Caenorhabditis elegans: one gene and its partners. The protein of the gene in region 3 interacts with the protein of the main gene of each other region in a pairwise test. Each region holds a gene or a part of one and is shown on either strand. Other genes may lie near its edges. The genes, in order: npp-1, npp-4 and npp-13.

What was found.
Region 1: the proteins of npp-13 (region 3) and npp-1 interact in a two-hybrid assay, tested with the Caenorhabditis elegans proteins (one study listed by BioGRID).
Region 2: the proteins of npp-13 (region 3) and npp-4 interact in a two-hybrid assay, tested with the Caenorhabditis elegans proteins (one study listed by BioGRID).

What each region holds. Positions count from the first base shown.
Region 1 is NC_003282.8:9,856,684-9,862,656, reverse strand, and holds npp-1 (Nucleoporin Nup54 alpha-helical domain-containing protein), read right to left. Parts: upstream 4,170-5,973; 5' UTR 4,166-4,169; coding exon 4,068-4,165; intron 4,020-4,067; coding exon 3,916-4,019; intron 3,836-3,915; coding exon 3,731-3,835; exon of another isoform or gene 3,286-3,730; coding exon of another isoform or gene 3,060-3,285; coding exon 2,790-3,059; intron 2,552-2,789; coding exon 2,370-2,551; intron 2,314-2,369; coding exon 2,134-2,313; intron 2,084-2,133; coding exon 1,690-2,083; intron 1,596-1,689; coding exon 1,417-1,595; intron 1,367-1,416; coding exon 1,169-1,366; intron 1,122-1,168; coding exon 912-1,121; 3' UTR 546-911; downstream 1-545. Other genes in the region: K07F5.14 (NUC153 domain-containing protein), read right to left, coding at 1-94, 209-433; K07F5.12 (Transmembrane protein 144 homolog), read right to left, coding at 4,671-4,879, 4,923-5,173, 5,220-5,491.
Region 2 is NC_003279.8:14,700,574-14,708,265, reverse strand, and holds npp-4 (Nucleoporin p58/p45), read left to right. Parts: upstream 1-1,743; 5' UTR 1,744-1,745; coding exon 1,746-2,173; intron 2,174-2,216; coding exon 2,217-2,308; intron 2,309-3,129; coding exon 3,130-3,556; intron 3,557-4,808; coding exon 4,809-5,257; intron 5,258-6,735; coding exon 6,736-6,956; 3' UTR 6,957-7,144; downstream 7,145-7,692. Other genes in the region: Y54E5A.5 (Polysaccharide biosynthesis domain-containing protein), read left to right, coding at 399-758, 999-1,100.
Region 3 is NC_003279.8:2,095,383-2,100,417, forward strand, and holds the start of npp-13 (Nuclear pore protein), read left to right. Parts: upstream 1-1,963; 5' UTR 1,964-1,964; coding exon 1,965-2,063; intron 2,064-2,117; coding exon 2,118-2,357; intron 2,358-3,207; coding exon 3,208-3,324; intron 3,325-5,035.

The DNA of each region.
Region 1 (5,973 bases), on a different chromosome or scaffold from region 3:
GTCTATTTTTGATTTCAAAATCTTCCTCCTCATCTTTATCGTTTTCATCTTCAGAATCGAAGAGTTTTGGACGTTTTGAACTGCGCGAGGTTTTCTGAATTATTCCAACTTAGTTTACGAGTATTGTCTTTACAGCAAACAACTTTATGAAATCGGGCAATTGCTGTTATAAGAGATTTTTATCTCAAAAAATTGAAAAACTTCCAACCTTTTCACCATTCGCGGCTGTTTTTTCTGTTTCTTCATCCTGATCATCCCCATCATCCGAATCTTCAAATACAATGCGTTTTGTCGTTTTTTTGTCAACATTAGCAATGTCAGCAGCAATTTGACGATCTCTTTCTCTCTGATCTTGAATTTTTTGCCTCATCGCGGCTCGACGAGCTTCATCTGAACGTTGACGTCTCTTTTCATCATTGTCTTCATCGTCCATTTTCTGAGATACATTTTGCAATAGTTTTTATGTGATTCTAATTATTTGAAAATCGCAGAAATTCGAACGGGAGACAACCGTTATTTGACAAAACTCAAACAGAAAAATGGAGATCAAATTTATTCTAGATAGAAGTTTGAGATGAATTAATTCAATCTATTAAACAGTGTGTGAAATAAGACAATTAACAATTTGAGGAGGTCAGATCAACAGTTACAACCAAGAATGAGGCATATTTTATGAAAAAATGTACTCGTGATGACAGGCGAACATAGAAAAAAGCGAGCTTTTTTGCTCAATATGTATAAGTTTTAAAAACAATTTTCTGCCACACATCTTAGGTCGAAACAGAAATAACCAGAAACCTGTCAGAGTTTGAAAGAAAATAATGATGATACAAAAGAAATGAGCGAATTTTTAAATTAATACGAGAAAATCTGAAAAAAAGATTTTCAGAAAATCTTTTCTAAAAAATAAATTATCCTTCTAGAGCCCTTCTACAAGCTTCAAGACTTTCGATTTGTTGATGTGTTGACTCGTAAAGGCCAGAGCAAATATTAACAAATTTGGTAAGCACTCTACGAGCATAGTGTTCATCTTCAATTGTCATATCAAACATTTTCCACATTGATTCTTGAAGTTTATCCGGTTTTGATTCCAAAATCTCGTAGAATTTGTCGACATAAAACTGAAATTAATTGTTTTATACAAAATTAAATCATAATTTTTTCTCACCTTCACTTGATTATGACGATTCATTTGGGCAAGAAGTGTATCAGCTTTAGCTTCAATTACATCCTCATCAGTGTCAATTTGACGTGAATATCTTGATACAATCCATTGTGCAAGCATAACACGAACAATTCTGTACGAGAGAGTTTTATGGCGATTACGAATAATCTCCATCTTAACAACTGCATCTGCATGTTCATGCTGAAATATGTATGACATTTGTAAACTTTCATCAAGTTATAACAACTTACATTAGCTTCTTCAACACGATTTCCCAATGCATTAATTGCCTCGTGGAATAGTTTCGACTCGCCAACTTGAGCCTTCTGTCTGTCTCTTAATGCTTCCCATCCACGTACTGGAACAGGAAGAAGTTTGTTTGGAGCTGGGTTTTCTTTGATTGCTTGTCTCCAAATACGCTCATCGATTCCTGAAATGAATGAAATTTGATACAATGCGAGGGAGGAAAACGAAAATCTTTGTTAATAAATGATAAACATAGTAAAAATAACGAGTAAACTAACCATCAGGAACTGTCTCCAAATATCTATCTCTTTGTGCTTTCGACATTCCAACTTTAGGAAGAACCCTTGTTTTATCCACTTGCAACTGCGATTCTAATTGGGTCATTTTTGGAGCATCATTGAGGATTTGAGCAAGTTTAATAGCTCCTGCAACAAATCCGCCTTCTTTGGCGATAATACAGATTTCTGTGCATCCATCAGAAAGTGTTCTCATCGAAGTACCAGGAGCATATCGAACTTCTACATTTGGTCCGCCACCAAGAATAGCTTTGATAATTTCAAGAATTTTGTCACGGCGTTCTTCTGTGTTCAAGTTTGTAATAGGATGACGCAGCACCAAAGTTACAAATCCCTCATCGTCGGTTCGCTCCGAAATACGATTGTATCCGATTCCCTGAAACGTGACACTGTGCAAGTTTTCAGTGATTTATAAAATAAACTTACAACAAATCGTTCAAACAAGTTTCCTTCCATTGAAAACGATAGAAGCTGATTTCCATCTTTGTATGGAGCTTTTCCGACACCCAAACCGGCAGCAACTTGATTCAACTTAGCAACAACTCCATCATTATCATTTCCAAAGAGCTTTGGATCTCCGACAGCTTTCACAAATGGGTGATACTGCTGAAAAAATTTTATTTGGAAAAGCGCTCAGATATTCTTAAGATTCATTTAATTACCTGAATAACTTGTTGCTGCTGAACAACAGGCTGTTGTTGTTGTTGAGTTGCTCCAAGACCACCAAGAGTAGACCCTGAGCTGGAACCAAAAAATCCGCCTGTAGCTGGCTTTGCAGTACTCGATCCAAAAAGCGTTGATCCCGCGGCTGTTCCAGTCGACGCTGCTCCGAATGGGGTCGATCCTGAAAATTGAGCCATCAAAATTATCAAAGTTCGTTAATTAGACAATTATATTCCAGATTCACGATAAAATACTTGAAGCAATGTTTTAAAGCTAATTAGACATATCTAAATTAATTATTTTTAAGATTTAATATTAGGTTTAGTTTTTTTTTTTTTTATTCGGTTTTTGATCTGACCCACCAAGTCTACTCAATTCTAGAAATATGAAAAGCTAATACAAAGTTGATGAATACCAACCTCCAAATGTTGAGTAGGGAGGACGATAAGCTGCTGGAGCCACATTCAAGTTGTTTGCCGGTGATAGAAAAGATGACTGTGGGGCATTAGTTCCTGGTAACGCAGATGGTGTGGCAAAAGATGTTGGAGTATTACCAGAAAGACTACCAGCCCCCAAAGTTCCTGATTTGAATGCTGCCAATCTTGTGGCAACGGGTGATTTGGCAGTTTGTTGTGTGGATCCAATACCGCCGAGACCTCCAGATGTCGTTGATGATGTTCCGAAGAGTCCTGAAGTTCCAGAAGTGGTTCCAGATGCCGGAGAATTTGTGAAAAGCGTGCGGTTAGCGTCATTGGGTGCTCCAAACAAATTGCGACGGGCTGGTGAACTAACATTCTGGGTTGCTGGGGCTGGAGCTTGAGATGCTGATGTCGTAGGTAAATCGGGAAGATTTGGAAGATTCTTCGGCATGTCTTCTGCTTTGATTCCGGTGATGCCCCCACGTCGGGCAAACATTTCTGCAGACGCTCGAGACGAAGAAAACGAGTAGCAAAGAGCAACACGGGTGATAGAAGAACAGGCAAAGAAATCCGCACGACACCGACCACGACAGAGAAAAGTGAAGGTAACGAACACAATGACGACGAGAGAAGTAGAGCGATAGGAGAGAAATAACAATTTTGAATAAAAATTAAGCGCAAATCACAGAAGTAGAACCTTGGTAGGTCAAATAATTTGTCAGATCAAAAAATATATTGAGTCTATTTTCTTTTTTCATTCATTTGTTGCTGGAATTTAGAATATAATTTTTTGGTCCAAAATGTATTACTTCGATCAATATGATTTATCGATTTCCCCTCCTTATCATTGTCTAGCTTTTCTCTCAACGAGACCACACAACAGCTAATAGTATAAACTAAGTAGAAGTGACCGAAAATATCGATAATTTTGAGTAGCTTACCGGTTGTAGAAGCACCGAAAAGACTTGGAGTAGCTGTTGAAGTGGTTGGAGCAGCACCAAACAAAGTTCCAGCAGTTGAAGTGGTAGTAGTTGAAGTGCCTGTCTCTGAAATTTAATATATTTCGGTTTAAAATGCAACTTTGATTACGAAGTAAGTTGTGTAAAAGTAAAAATATCAAACTTACTTCCAAACAATCCTCCAGAAGGAGTAGAGGTATTTGTTGTTCCAAAAAGCGAAGGCGTTGATGAAGCCTGAGCAGTTGAACCGAACAGAGGCTTTGATGGCGTTCTGAAAATAATATTTTTGTATAAAAATAATACTTCTTAAAATACTAACGTGCTTCCAAACAAAGTTCCAGACGATGTTGTTGGAGCATTCGGCGTTGGAAACGTAAATGCCTGTTTTTGGGGAGTAGATGACCCGAAAAGTGACATTTCGCTGAAAACAAACGATTTTTAAGAGAAATGGGGCTTGTGAGAAGAAAAAGAACACATATGTAGTTAATGCGAGAATTCTAGAATGAAAATAATAATATAAATAAGACAATGAGCCGAATTAAATCGATTTTTGGGGACGCTTTGGCGTGCAAATTTTTTCGAATTTTGTCTGTGTACGAAGGGGCGCGTTTGCTGGCACCCTCCTCGAAGATGAAAGAATACATATTCCGAAGAACATTCAACCGTGAAAAGAAATGCATGTTTCAGGTATTCAGTTACTTCGTATTTTGCGAAAATTTGATAACTCATTTTAATCAAGAATTCTTAAATTGAATTTCGATATAAAAGATATCAATAGTAACTTCTTTAGATTTCCAGTTGTTTTGTTGAAAAATTTTTTTTTTAAACCAAACGATCGTTTAAACGATACGAATAATACTTTATTTCAAATATAATACAACATTTTGAGATGAGATCAATAAATCGTTCGGTTCTGTTCTAATTAAATCTGATTAGACAAAGCAATCATAATCACCGAAATGACACCAATAACAGAAGAAATTGCCAACGTAGCATATGATCGGGTTCCTTGAATACTCTTGAATACAAATACATCAAGAGCTCCACTAATTAACGGTGGAAGACGGGCGGTACATGGATAGGCAACAACTTGAGATAATTTATCACTGGAGACAAACCAAAGTGTCATTCCTGAAGAACTAAACATTTGAACAATCGACCACGCATCTCTTACCTGTAGTCCATAAAATACCGTACCCAATCGATGGAATTATCAAATTCCTTTCCACGTAGGCTTTTCGACGCAAAATTACACAATACGCGAAGAAATACAGTGTAGAGAAGAGGAATACTGATGTGTAGAATGGGAAAATATAGTCAAACACTTGGAAACTATCAGTTGGTGGATTCTGTTGCTTCAAATATTCAATCGGTGACATCATCAAACCATGTAGACACGCAAGAACCATTGCCATAAGGATATAACTGAAAATTCGTTTTTTTTTTAAATTTCTAAGCATGCCCAACGAACGGTAATTTCTTTGCCAAACCAGCCATATCAAATGAAGAATCTCTTTCTGAATTGCTGAGTCTTTGCTCAATCTCTTCTTGATGTTCCATTTCCTTGCTGGTCACATCATATTCATTTTCTGGCTCCGTTTCCACGTGTTTCACGAATATCAAAAGAACTCCACTCACGATTGTCAATGCAATTCCAATATAGTTCAACACATCATTTTTCACATTCTGCGGGGCAATCCATTGGAACAGCCCGAATCTTGCCACTCCCCATCCGACAATAATCTTAAAGAAGAGTTTCAGAGTAGTTTCAGAGTAGTAGTAGTAGTTTCAGTATGTTTCAGAGTAAGCTTTCCGCGTAGACACAAAACGCCTGCCTGCATTTTGAGGCAATCTGCGTCTTCCCGCCAAAATTCCGAAAATAACGAGGTAGACGGTATGGGCGCAATTGCTGGAAATTTTGAAAACCAAAAAAATTGTATCACATTTCCAAAACCTCTGATAGTATTCAATTGAAATTCATGCCACAAATAAGTATTCAAGAAATAATTTTAGATTAAAATTATTTTGAAAAACCTTTTTTTTGAGACCCGAAGAACTCGTGGGATGTCCAACTGGGGGGATTACCAACTCGGGGGATTGGCCCCGCCCACAGAACCGTGGCTTGCAATACGCCCATTTCTGCAACTGCCGCACGGTTTTAAAACTGTATTTTTCTCAATAGAGCGAGAATTAACAAGAAAAAATAATTTTAGTTGCAAAAATTC
Region 2 (7,692 bases), about 13 Mb from region 3:
TTTTTGTTAAATTATATTGAAAAATTGTTTGTTTTTGCTATAATTTGCATTTAAAATCGGTTTTATTCCATTAATTATCGAATCCCCACTGCGCGCGCGGGGATGGCAAAACGCCGTGCGGCAGTTGCAAATGGGCGGAGTTTGGAGAATTTAAAAAATATTCGAATTTATTTCGCAATTTTTAGAGATTTTCAGGCTTTTTTCAGAGTTTTCATGCGTAATTTTCACTTTAAAATGTTATTTAAGTGTGTAGGATTATAGAAATGTAATTTAATTCCGCAAATTTTGTTGAAAAACTTGGATTTTTGCAATTTTTGCAGATTTTTACATGATTTTCTTCTAATTCTCCTGTTTCAAGTCAATTTTCTCTCTAATTTTCCAAATTTTCAGGTAACAAAATGACTGACTACGGAGATGCTGATAAATACGTCAACGACGAATCGATCGAGATGGCTTGGGCGATCAAAGCCGGCGAACGGTCCGAAGTTCACATGAATCTGATAATGCGGTGTGACACTCGGGTTCTTCGGCTCAACAAGCATCAGGATGCGATTCTCGCCGCATTTCGAAGCTCATTCCCCGATTTGAATGTGGAGGAGGTGACGACGAGTTTGCTGAAAGACGGCGGAGCCAAGGAGACATGGCGCGAGTTTTGTGAGCAATTCAAGGATATCGTCGACGATTATTCAATGGGAACACTGATGAGAATTCATGCTTCGAAGGCTTACAGTCCGGAAAATACTGTGGTTGTTCCAAGAGTTAGTGGGACCCAAATTGGAAATTTTTGTGATTTTCAGCATGATTTGTAGCTAGAAATTGCAGTTTTTGCGTTTTTAGCCCAGTTTTTAGCTAGAAAACTCAGATTTTGTGATTTTCGGCATGATTTGTTGCTGGAAATTGCAGTTTTTAGCTTAAATTTTTGGGAAAACTTCAATTTCCAGCCAAAAACCCCTCATCCCTCATTTTCCCATACAAAATCGATCGATAATTAATTACAGATCATCTACCTGGCAATCGAGATGGCACGCAACGTGGAGGGTGTCAACGAGAAGAATAAGGAGGCATACACGGCTCACCGCAATTCGCTCGCCTCCTTGTAATAATTTCTCTCGTTTTTTTTTTTGAATTTTTGTTGATTTTTCCCCGTTTTCTCGTTTTCCACCCTGTCGTTTGTCTTGTAGTTTGCATATAAACCGATTTCTTCGTTTTTAAAAATGATTTATTTCCAATTTCTCGAGTTTTCCAGCTCTTTTTACTTATATTTTTGTTTATTTTTTTTCCAAAAATTGATTTTCAGATATTTTTCTCTAAGAAATGTCGATTTTGATGAATTTTTCTGTGCTAAAATTGACTTTTCAAAATTTTCTCATAGACACGTGGGATAAATGCCCTAAAACTCAATTTTAGCCTGAATAATTCGTGATTTTTGATAATTTTTCATCGGAAATCGAATGTTGGATGCTAAAAACGTTTCTTTGGCAATTTTCGAATCCCCACCGTTTTTTCTCCATTAAAATCTGGATAAGCATCTCAAAATTCATGAAAAATCACTTTTTCTGTTAAAAAGTGTTTTCTGTGATTTCTGAGCGAAATTGTCAAAAAAAAAAAGTGATTTTCGCTTCGAAAATTCGAATTCCCGAAGGAAAAACCATCAAAAACCTCTGTTTTTGAATAGAAAATGTCTAAAAATCAATAATTTCCCAATTTCTTTTCTTTCTTCTCCATAAAAATTTAATTTTCCAGAAATGTCGCTTTTCGGTACAAGTACCACGGCTCCAGCTGCTTCAACAACACCTCTTTTTGGCTCAACGGCTGCTGCTGCTCCAAAGCCTGGAGGCCTCTTCGGTGCGCCTGCTGCTGCCATGTCATCAGGGCTCTTTGGAGCATCTCAGACAGCTCCTGCACCAGCTTCTGCAGGACTTTTCGGCTCAACAACTGCTCCTACACCTGCTTCAACGTCTTCAGTTCCACTATTCGGTTCGACAACAACCACCGCATCACCATCTGGAGGACTTTTCGGAGCCAAGACAGCCACCACAGCAGCTCCCGCGCCGACTGGTGGGCTCTTTGGAGCATCAACGGCTGCTCCGGCGACTGGAAGTCTGTTCGGAAGTACTGCCCCGGCTACTGGAGGTCTTTTTGGCGCGAAATCGACCACATCGGCGGCTCCGACGTTGGTTTTAGAGCTTTCGATGCATCTAAAATTGAATTTTCAGGCTTGGAGGTGGACTTTTTGGATCGAGCACGGCTCCGGCGGCGGCGGCAACGACATCATTTGGAGCTCCACCAGCGACTGCAGCTGCTCCATGTTAGTATAGATGCTGGAGCTTCTTTTTTCTCTGTTTTCAGCACAAAAATTCCATTTTTTGCGAATTTTCAGCTCTAAAATGCTTTTTTAAATAGAAAATTGCCACTTTCAACTCCTTATTTGGAAATCCTATTTTTCGCCGAATTTCGACAAAATTTTAGTTATCAAAACTAGCGTTTTTAATCTGAAAATCGGACATTTTCAGCTCAAAAGTGTGTTTTTAATCGAATATAGTACGATTTTTATGTTCAACAACGCTAATTTTATAGAAAATTGGAAAATTTTCTAACAATACATCAAAAATCCTTATTTTCCTCCTATTTTTCAGCCAAAAATGCGTGAAAAATAAGCAATATCCATTTAAAAGCTTTATTTTGTCGATTTTTCTTCAAAAATTGGCGTTTTCCGGCAATTTGGCTATTTGCCGGTTTACCGATTTGCCGGAAAAAAATAAAATTCTAAAATTTCCAACATTAATGTGCAAAACCGCAATTTGCAGGAAGTTTTCGGCAATTGCCGCTTTTCCGGAAGATTCGGCAATTTGTCGGTTTGCCCATTTGCCAGAAATTTTCAATTTCGGCAATTTGTCGGTTTGCCGGAAATTTTCAATTCCGGCAAATTCGGCAATTTGCCGGAATTTTTCAATTTCGTCAAATTTGCCGGCTTGCCGATTTGCCGGAATTTTTCAATACCGGCAACTTGTCAATTTGTCGGTTTTCCCATTTTCCAGAAATTTTCAATTCCGGCAATTTGCCAATTTGCCGGAAAAAATCGTTTGCCGCCTTGAGATTGCGCAGCCTGAAAATCATTTTGTTTTTCAGTGGGTCTCGGCGGAATCCAGCAACAAAACAGCAGTGGTGGTGGGCTTCCAAATGCTTCAGGAACTGCCACGTCATCACTCACAGGCACCGGAGACTCAAAAGATGCCTCGAAAGACGGTGAATGGACACAAGCGGCCACTCTAATCAGAGATTTACTCCCATTGATCGAGGATAAATTCAAGAAAAATCGAGAATTTATGGAAGAAACCGAGAATATGTCAATTGACAACGTGGCAATCGAAGAACAAATCGATAAGACACGTGGATGGATTGAGGAAGTTCGACGGGATGTTCTGACGGCTACACAATCATCAGAAAGGATTGCATATCTTGTATCAACTGATAAAACACTTTGTGATACGACGAAACGAGTTCAAGAGCATTCTGGATCTGCAAATCAGACTACTTATATGAATGCTATCAAAGAGTTCGTTTTTGAGCTATTTTAACGCTTGAACGTCTTGAAATGACTTGAAAATCTAGAAAATTGGACAAAATTTAACAAATCCGTCTTTTTCATGAAAAAAAAACCCCAAAACCACCCCTGGCAGTTCAAAATATCGAAAAAGAGCTGAAATTAGCTGAAAAATCCGATTTTATAAGCTTGTAGTGACTGAAAATTGATTTTTCGCCAAGTTTTGCATATTTTCGTCGTAATTCACATTAAAAAAACGTTAATTCTTGATACTTTACTTTTTTAGACCCAAAATGACTCAAAACTGCCGAAGAATTTCGTTATGAAAATGTCTCAAAAAAGTTATGACCGCTCAAAGTTTTGGAAAAATGGTCAATTGTTAGCTAAAATCTCAAAATTTGGCAAATTTTCTGTGTTGCAGCGATTGGAACTTAATTTTTATTCGATTATCATACTTTAATGCATGTTTTAGCAAGTTGTTACGTGTTATTTCGTTGATTGAGATACTTTATCATATTTGTGCCGGCATCGACCGAAAAAGCATCTCAATCAACGAAATAACACGTAATAAATTGCGAAAACTTCCATTAAAGGATACAAATCGAATGAAAATTAAGTCACAACCGCTTCAACACTGAAAATTTGCCAAAATTTGAGATTTTAGCTAAAAATTGACCATTTTTTTCCAAAATTTTAAGCCGCCGCATTTTTTTTGAGAAATTTTTGAGAATTACGACTAAAATATGCAAAAGGGGGGATAAAAACTAATTTTCAGCCACTACAAGCTTGTAAAATTGGATTTTTCAGCTTTTTTTGGACCTTTTTGAGTATATTTTCTTGAGAAGGATGGATTTGTTAAATTTGGCTCATTTTTCTAGATTTTCGAGCGTCTCATAACAAAATTCGGTAGTTTTAGGCCATTTTTGATCTAAAATAAGACAGTATCGGATTTCGGCACTCCACCAGGGCTGGGACCAAAAACAAAAAACCAAAAAATTGATGATTAAGTTTATTTTTAATGTGGTTATTCTAGTAATGTTGAAAAATGTATCAAAATACATTTTTGACGTCACAACTGTTAAAATACATGTTTTTATGTATTTTAATACAGAATATTCTCGAAGCGAGAGACATTTTTTTTTTTGGATTTTTTGGTTTTGTGGCCCCAAAAAATGGATTTTTCGTCAAAATACCAGAAAAATCCAGAAAAGTTCCAGCCGCCCTGCACCACTCCACCTGTTTTTTAATTCCAACTATTTTGCAGACACCTCGCCGAGCTGTGCAATTTCTATGGAAATGATATGGACGCACTTCAAGAGAGAGTGAATTTCCTGAGAAATCGATTCGAGAAGCTTCTAACCGGTGAAAAATCGATAACAATGGAGGAGCTGGATGCATATTTTTTGAGATGTGATGCAAATGTTTCGAATGCACATCATCATGTCACTGAGCTCGGAAAAGAAATTGAAGAAATTCGAGATTTTCTAATTGAACAAGGATATACTCAATTGAGAAAATGGTCGACTACAGCTGCTTCAGCAGCAGCACCAATAGCTTCGAATTCTGAAATGATTGTTAGAGAAGGAGCCGAGTTCTTCCCATCACAATCTAGTCTGGCAATCATTGGAAGCTCGTTGAGAGCACCGGCTGCTCCGGCTCCAGCTGTTGGAGGGCTTGGATTGGGCACTGGAACCAGTCTTTTTGGAAATACTGGTGTGTAGAATTGAAGGAAAAAAAAAATTGTTTTTTTTTGGCTTTCTTGAAATCTATAAATTCAAGAAAAAGTTTCTTGAGCATTTTTTAAATGCAAAATTTGATGAAAAATTGGTTTTTTTAACATTTTTTGACGAGAAATCAAATTTGTAACTTGCAGTTGTTACAACCAAGGGTGTCGGTTTTTCGATTTTCCCTGAAAAAATCGAAAAAAATTTTCGATTTTTGAAATAAGCTTACAAAACAGCATCTCTACAACAAATCTTTTTTTTTTATCAATTTTCTTTGAAAATTACAAGAACCCAAAAAAATGCGTCAAAACTGCTTTAAAATCGTAGAAATTGCAAAAATTCCAAAGAAACTTTCTTTTTGTTACAAATTCGAGTTTTTTTCACTAAAATTTTTTCTAGTTTTCTCTAAAAAACCGATTTTTTTGAAATTTCATCGGATAAGCATAGATGTCAGTTTTTTTTTCAAAATTTTTGTTGTTGTAACCAAGGGTGTCATTTTTCGATTTTTTCGATTTTTCGATTTTTCGATTTTCACTGAAAAAATCGAAAAAATCGAAAAATCACACCCTTGGTTACAACAACAAAAATTTTGAAAAAAAAACTGACATCTATGCTTATCCGATGAAATTTCAAAAAAATCGGTTTTTTAGAGAAAACTAGAAAAAATTTTAGTGAAAAAAACTCGAATTTGTAACAAAAAGAAAGTTTCTTTGGAATTTTTGCAATTTCTACGATTTTAAAGCAGTTTTGACGCATTTTTTTGGTTCTTGTAATTTTCAAAGAAAATTGACCAAAAAAAAAAAAAAAAAGATTTTTTCCAGTCTTCCGGCAAAAAAGGTTTTTCTTGCATTTTTGACGGAACAATTTTTTAAAAAAATTATTTTTTTTTTGTGAAAATGGTTTAAATTTTCACGAAAAATCCAAAAAAATAAAGCCTATTTTGTAGTTTTCAGAAAAAAGTATTTGTTTTCTGCAATTTCTGCAAAAAATTTTTTATTTTTTTAAAGAGTTTTTCGGTATTTTCTGAAGCGGTAAAATAATTTACGAAAAATCCAAAATTGATTATTCGATGTTTTCTAAATGAATTATAGTGGATTTTTTGTCGAAATTGCAAAAAAAAATCTCAATTTTTCCGACAAAAAATTCAACTAATGAAATGAAAACTCTAAGCGTTCAAAGTTAAAAAATTTTGTTTTTTTTTTCGTTAAGTTTCTCGCCAAAATTCAACAATTTTTCATCGAAATTGTGAATTACCAAAAAAAAACAGTTTTTTGTCAAAATTACAACAATAGTAGAAATTTTTTTAATTTTTCCGCGAAATTGCAAGAAGGAACAAAAAATATAGATTTTTCTCAAAATAATGAGAAAAATCGATATTTCCGAACCAAAAAAGGATTATCGTCAAAATTGGCAATAAAGTCCAAAAAATCTATGATTTTTAAAATCTAAACCTTCAATTTCTCTCAGGAACAACTTCTCTTTTCGGATCAACGGCCACAAAACCAGCTTTCTCTGGAGGATCTCTATTCGGTGCAACAACTTCTACTGCAACATCCTCAGCTGCTGCCACCACCACAACTCCGACTACATCACTCTTCGGATCAACCAAACCAGCCACCACAACTACACCATTTGCATCGACTGTTGCTAATAATTCCAGTGGTCTTTTGTTCAGTTCAAAGAAATAATTATTTATTTTTTTATTTCATGATGACTGGTTTTATTATTTAATTTGTGAAATATTTATTTTTTCTGATCTTTCTTTCGATTCCTCACGCTTTTCCTGTTCTTACCCTATTCTTACATTAAGCTTATTCGATTTTAATTTTACATTGTCTCTACACAGCAAATTTTCCCATGAAATCTGATTTTTTGTAAAATTTTTGAATTTTTCATCAAAAATTAAGGTACTATAAGGGTATTGAAGGATTACTGTACGGGTACTGTAGGGATACTGTAGAATTATTGTAGTTTGGGAAATTTGAATTTTTAGCTTTAGTAGAGGTATTTTGTTGGGAGTTGGTGGGGATGATGTTAAGGTACTGTAAGGGTACTGTGGGCTTACTTTAGTTGTTTTGTATGATTACTGCAGGCTAAAAATTGACCTTTTTCAGAATATAGTAGTTTTGAACATTTTCAGGAAAATTATTTTTTTGCCCAAAATAAAAAAAAAGGACAGTCATTAGAAAATTTGGGCAAAAATAAAAAGTTGTCTAAATTTGTTGAAAACGGGTAATTCATACATGCAAAATTCAGAAAATCTAGGTTTAGTCCGTCAAAAACTATTAAAAAGTGGCAAAAATGGCCAATTTATGGCAAAAATTCACAATTTTGAAACTTCACTAAAACGGGCAATTTTGTAGTTAGAGGACTCAAAATTGATTTAGGATCACTAAAAAATTGCCCTTTTTCAGAATATAGTAG
Region 3 (5,035 bases):
GGTGGTAATTGGATATTAATTGGCACTTTGGTGAGGATTTTGTGAATTTTCAAACTTTGCGCGTCGAATTTGGTGTATTCACATTACACACTGATTTCTGGCTTCCCTTGAAATGGAAGAGTTTTTGCCGAACTAGGCCGTTTTGGCTCGGCCATATCTGGGGTAGATTTACGGCGCGTTGCGTGTCGCGTCGCGGCTCGATTTTAGTTGTAAAACTAAATGTATTTGTCCGTGTGGAGTACACGACTTTCCCAGTCCGGCAGGCGATTGTCAATGGAGCGCGAAAAATTCAATGAGGAAGGCAATAACCCCGTAGTACTCTAATTAAGTGTCCCGTTTTTACGAAATTTTTATAAAAATTGGTTTTTTTTGTTTTTAGAGAAAATTATGAATATATTTTCTTGTTTTTCTAATCAACAAAAGCGAAATTTAATGTAAAATTACACGGGGTTCTGGCCTTCCTCGTTGAATTTTTCGCGCTCCATTGACAATCGCCCGCCGGACTGGGAAAGTCGTGTACTCCACGCGGACAAATACATTTAGTTTTACAACTAAAACCGAGCCGCGACGCGCCGTAAATCTACTCCAGATATGGCCGAACCAAAATGGCCTAGTTCGGCAAAAACTCTTCCATTTCAAATTATGAGTCCCCATCATGCCTAAGAACCCTCTATTTAGGTTACTGACACATCTGAAACCGGTGCTACAGTACCCTGCGTGGTGGGACCCGAAAATTTGAAATTTGGCAGAAAATGGGCAAGATGGGAGTCATTTTGAAGCTGAGAATGAGGAGAATGTGAATTTTAGAGTAATTTAGAGAAAAAAGTGAAATTGGGGAAAAAAAAACAATTTTTTTGGAAATTTTTTCATTTCAAAAATGTTCTTTAAATTGTCGTTAAATTCGAATTTCTCGATTTTCAGCTGTAAAATGACCCCCATCATGCCTGGGAATGCTTCAATTTCACACATTTCCCCATTGACACAGCTGAAACCGGTGCCACAGTACCCCGCGTGGTGGAAAAAAAACCCGAAACTTTCAAAAGAAATCCCTGATTTGTTTTACACTGAAAAATTGTTGAATTATCACGGGAACACAAAATTCAGAGAATGCGTATTGCGCAACAAATTTGACGCGCAAAATTATTAATATCTCGTAGCGAAAACTACAGTAATTTAAAGAATTTAAAGAATTACTGTAGTTTTCGCTGCGAGATATTTTGCGCGCCAAATATGTTGCGCAATACGGGCTCTCTGAATTCTGTGTTCCAGTAATTTTTACTTATAATTATTTTCCATAGACCAGTAAAACATTTACTGATTAAAAAAGCTCTCGACACAACTGTCACTAAATAATTCATTTTTTTAAAAGAAATTTAATGTTTTTTAGTGTTCAAATCATCCAATTTGTGATTTATTATCTGCTCCATGAGTTCCTGAGACCGATCTACCATCTGGCGGTGTACTTCTAACCGGAAAAGTCGATAATGTGGATGCTACGACACGCTCCCGAATTTATGTCTTTTTTTTCGTTTTTCTTTAAAAATAATACTCAATTTTCTTGAAACATTTTCATCGAAAATGTTTTTTTTTTCAATTTTTTTGTAAGTTTTTCATTTTCCCACTCAATTTGTACTGAATTCGATTCAATTCCAGCGGAAATTAATTTAAATTCAGCTCTTGGCAATGTGCCAAGAAGCTGGTGGCCTAGAACTCGAAATACTGGCCTAGGATTCATGCGGGATTTCGGAGTGTCGTTGCACCGATTTTTTCAAAATTAATTTTCGTTTTGCCGCGAAAAACGAGAATTATTTGGTTTTTAAAACGTTTTTTAACGATATTTTTCGATTATTTTCATATTTTTCAGGGTTTAAACTGGAAAATGTGGTTAATGTAAACTGGTTAATGTTGTAAATCCTTGAAAAAACCTAAACCAGTAATTTTCTCAATTTTTAATTCAATTCAGGATGCTACAGTTTACGGAGATCCTCGGAAGAGTTGATCATCAAGGATTCGCACAATTGCTTGCTAATCCGATTTTCCAAACCAACCGTGTCGGCCAAGAGGTTTGTAAATAATGTTTAAAATGTTAAAAACACCGAAAAATTCCCTTTTTCCAGAACTCGCAGCAATTCACAGTCCGAAATGGCGTCGAGCAGGAGCTTTGCGGTATTTTAGGCGGTTCAGAAGGCGACTGGACACGTCAGACGCACTCAGTTCAGAAGCAGATGATGTTTGGGGAGCGTGGCATCGAACTTCCGAGCCGCCAGCCGAAAAGTCACACCGCCGAGGATACTCTCACTGATGAAGGTGTCGTGGACGTGCCTGAAGCTGTAATGGATGATATTGACGAGGAAGAAGTACTTAATCACGGCCTCCTTGAGTGTTCATAATTATTGGAGCGAGCTCGCGTGGCACCTCACGAACTCCAGAATTTGCGGGAGTTCGTTCCGCGGGAACAGCAGTTTTTTGTTATTTTTGGCTTCTATAGGAAATATTTTTGATTTTTTGTTTTATAATATTCTTGAGAAACATCATCCGAATTGAAAATGTGTAAAATTATGAAATTGGCCGAAAACTGGAAGTTTTACAGAAGAAAGCCACTATAGTTTTTGAAAAAATGTATCAGGATCGCCAGTTTTGCGATTTATGCGTCGTAAAATATGTCATTTTGTAGAGAATTAAAAGTTTCATAAAAATTTTCGTTTGAAATTTTAATTCGTTAATTTCTAATAAAAAAATATTCAAAAAATCAACAATTTTACGTTAAAATCTTATTTCTTCAATTTTTAAGTTTTCAATAAAAACAATTTTAAATTTTCAAACAAAAATTCTTATGAAACTTTTAATTCTCTACAAAATGACATATTTTACGACACATAAATCGCAAAACTGGTCCTGATACATTTTTTTAAAAACTGTAGTGGCTTCCTTCTGTAAAACTTTCAGTTTTCGGCCAAATTTTATAATTTTACACATTTTCAATTCGGATGATGCTTCTCAAGAATATTATAAAACAAAAAATCAAAGATATTTCCTATAGAAGTCAAAAATAAAAAAAACTGCTGTTCCCGCGGAACGTGTTCCCGCGAATTCTGGAGTTCGTGAGGTGCCGCGCGAGCGCGCTCTAATAATTATGAACACTCCAGGTGGCCGTGATTAATTAATAATTTATCATGAAAACAACGTTTTAATCTTTAAATTTTCCAGCTCGACGAGGACATTTCTCGTGTTAAAGTGGAGACGGATCGAGCATTCTTCAACCACATGCTTCTTTCGAGACCTGCCGCAGTTCCCATGAATCCAGCACAGGCTATGGAACGAGATGTTCGTTAAAATCCCTTGCGCGGCACACCTCACGAACTCCAGAATTCGAGGGAATTCGTTTCGCGCGCACTTCTATAGATATTATTTTCTATTTTTTTGATTTATAATGTTGTTGAGAAGCATTTTTCCGAATTGAAAATGTTTAAAATTATGAAATTTGACCAAAAACTGACGGTTTTACAGAAGGCTTTCTTTAAAATGTATCAGAACCGTCAGTTTTTTGATTTCAAAGTCGTAAAATATTTAATTTTGTAGATAAAAGTCTGTTTCACAAAAATCCACGTTTGAAAATTTAAAATTGAAAATTGTTTTTATTAAAAACTGAAAAGTCTAGAAAAAATAAGATTTTAACGTAAAATTGTTGTTTTTTTGAGTATTTTTATATTAAATTAAAGGTGGAGCACCAAAAATTTAGACTTTGCTTTTTTGGACCCAAAATGTTCCAAAACTACCAAATTTCGTAATGAGACGTTCTGAAAATTTCTCAACAAAAAAAAGTTACGACCGCTCAAAGTTTTGGAAGAAATGGTCTATTTTCAGCTAAAATCTCAAATTTGTCAGCTTTTCAGTGCTGCATCGGTTGGTACTCAATTTTTATTTGACTAGCACTCTTTAATACATATTATGGTAGTTTATTACGCGTTTTTTCGTTGATTTGAGCCCATTTTGGGTTGATGGGTGCACAAAATTGTATTATATTTGTGCACCCATCGACCGAAAATGGGCTTAAATCAACGAATAAACGCGTAATAAACTACCATAATATGTATTAAAGAGTGCTAATCAAATAAAATTAAGTTCCAACCGCTGCAACACTGAAAAGCTGCTAATATTTGAGATTTTAGCTAAAAATCTACCATTTTTTCCAAAACTTTGAACGGACATAACTTTTTTGTTGAGAAATTTTCAGAACGCCTCACCACGAAATTCGGTAGTTTTGGAACATTTTAGGTCTAAAAAAGCAAAGTCTCAAATTTCGGTACTCCACCTTTAATTTCTAATATAAAAATATTCAAAAAATCAACAATTTTACTTTAAAATCGTTTTTTTTTATAAAAGATTTTCAGTTTTTAATAAAAACAATTTTAAATTTTCAAACGTCGATTTTTGTAAAATACTCTTTTCTCTCTACAAAATGACATATTTTACGACTACGAAATCGAAAAACTGACGGTTCTGATAGATTTTGAAGTAAAACCTTCAGTTTTCGGTCAAATTTCATAATTTTACACATTTTCAATTCGTATGATGCTTCTCAACAATATTATAAATCAAAAAATTCAAAAAAGAATTTCTATAGAAGCCGGAAATAGCCAAAAACTGCTGTCCCCGCGCGAATCGAATTCCCGCGAATTCTGGAGTTCGTGAGGTGTCGTGCTCGAATAATTATGAACACTCCGGGAGACCATGGAAAACAGGGGGTTCTGGCCTTCCTCATAGAATTTTTCGCGCTCCATTGACAATCGCCTTGGGAAAGTCGTGTACTCCACACGGACAAATACATTTAGTTTTACAACAAAAATCGAGCCGCGACGCGACACGCAACGCACCGTAAATCTACCCCCAGATATGACCTGGCCTAGTTCGGCAAAAACTCTTCCATTTCAATTTATGAGCGGAACCAGAGTTCCGTGCTCGTTTATAATGATTTTTATGCCGAAACACGGAATTCTAGCTTCCCTCATATATTGAAATGGAAGAGTTTTTGCCG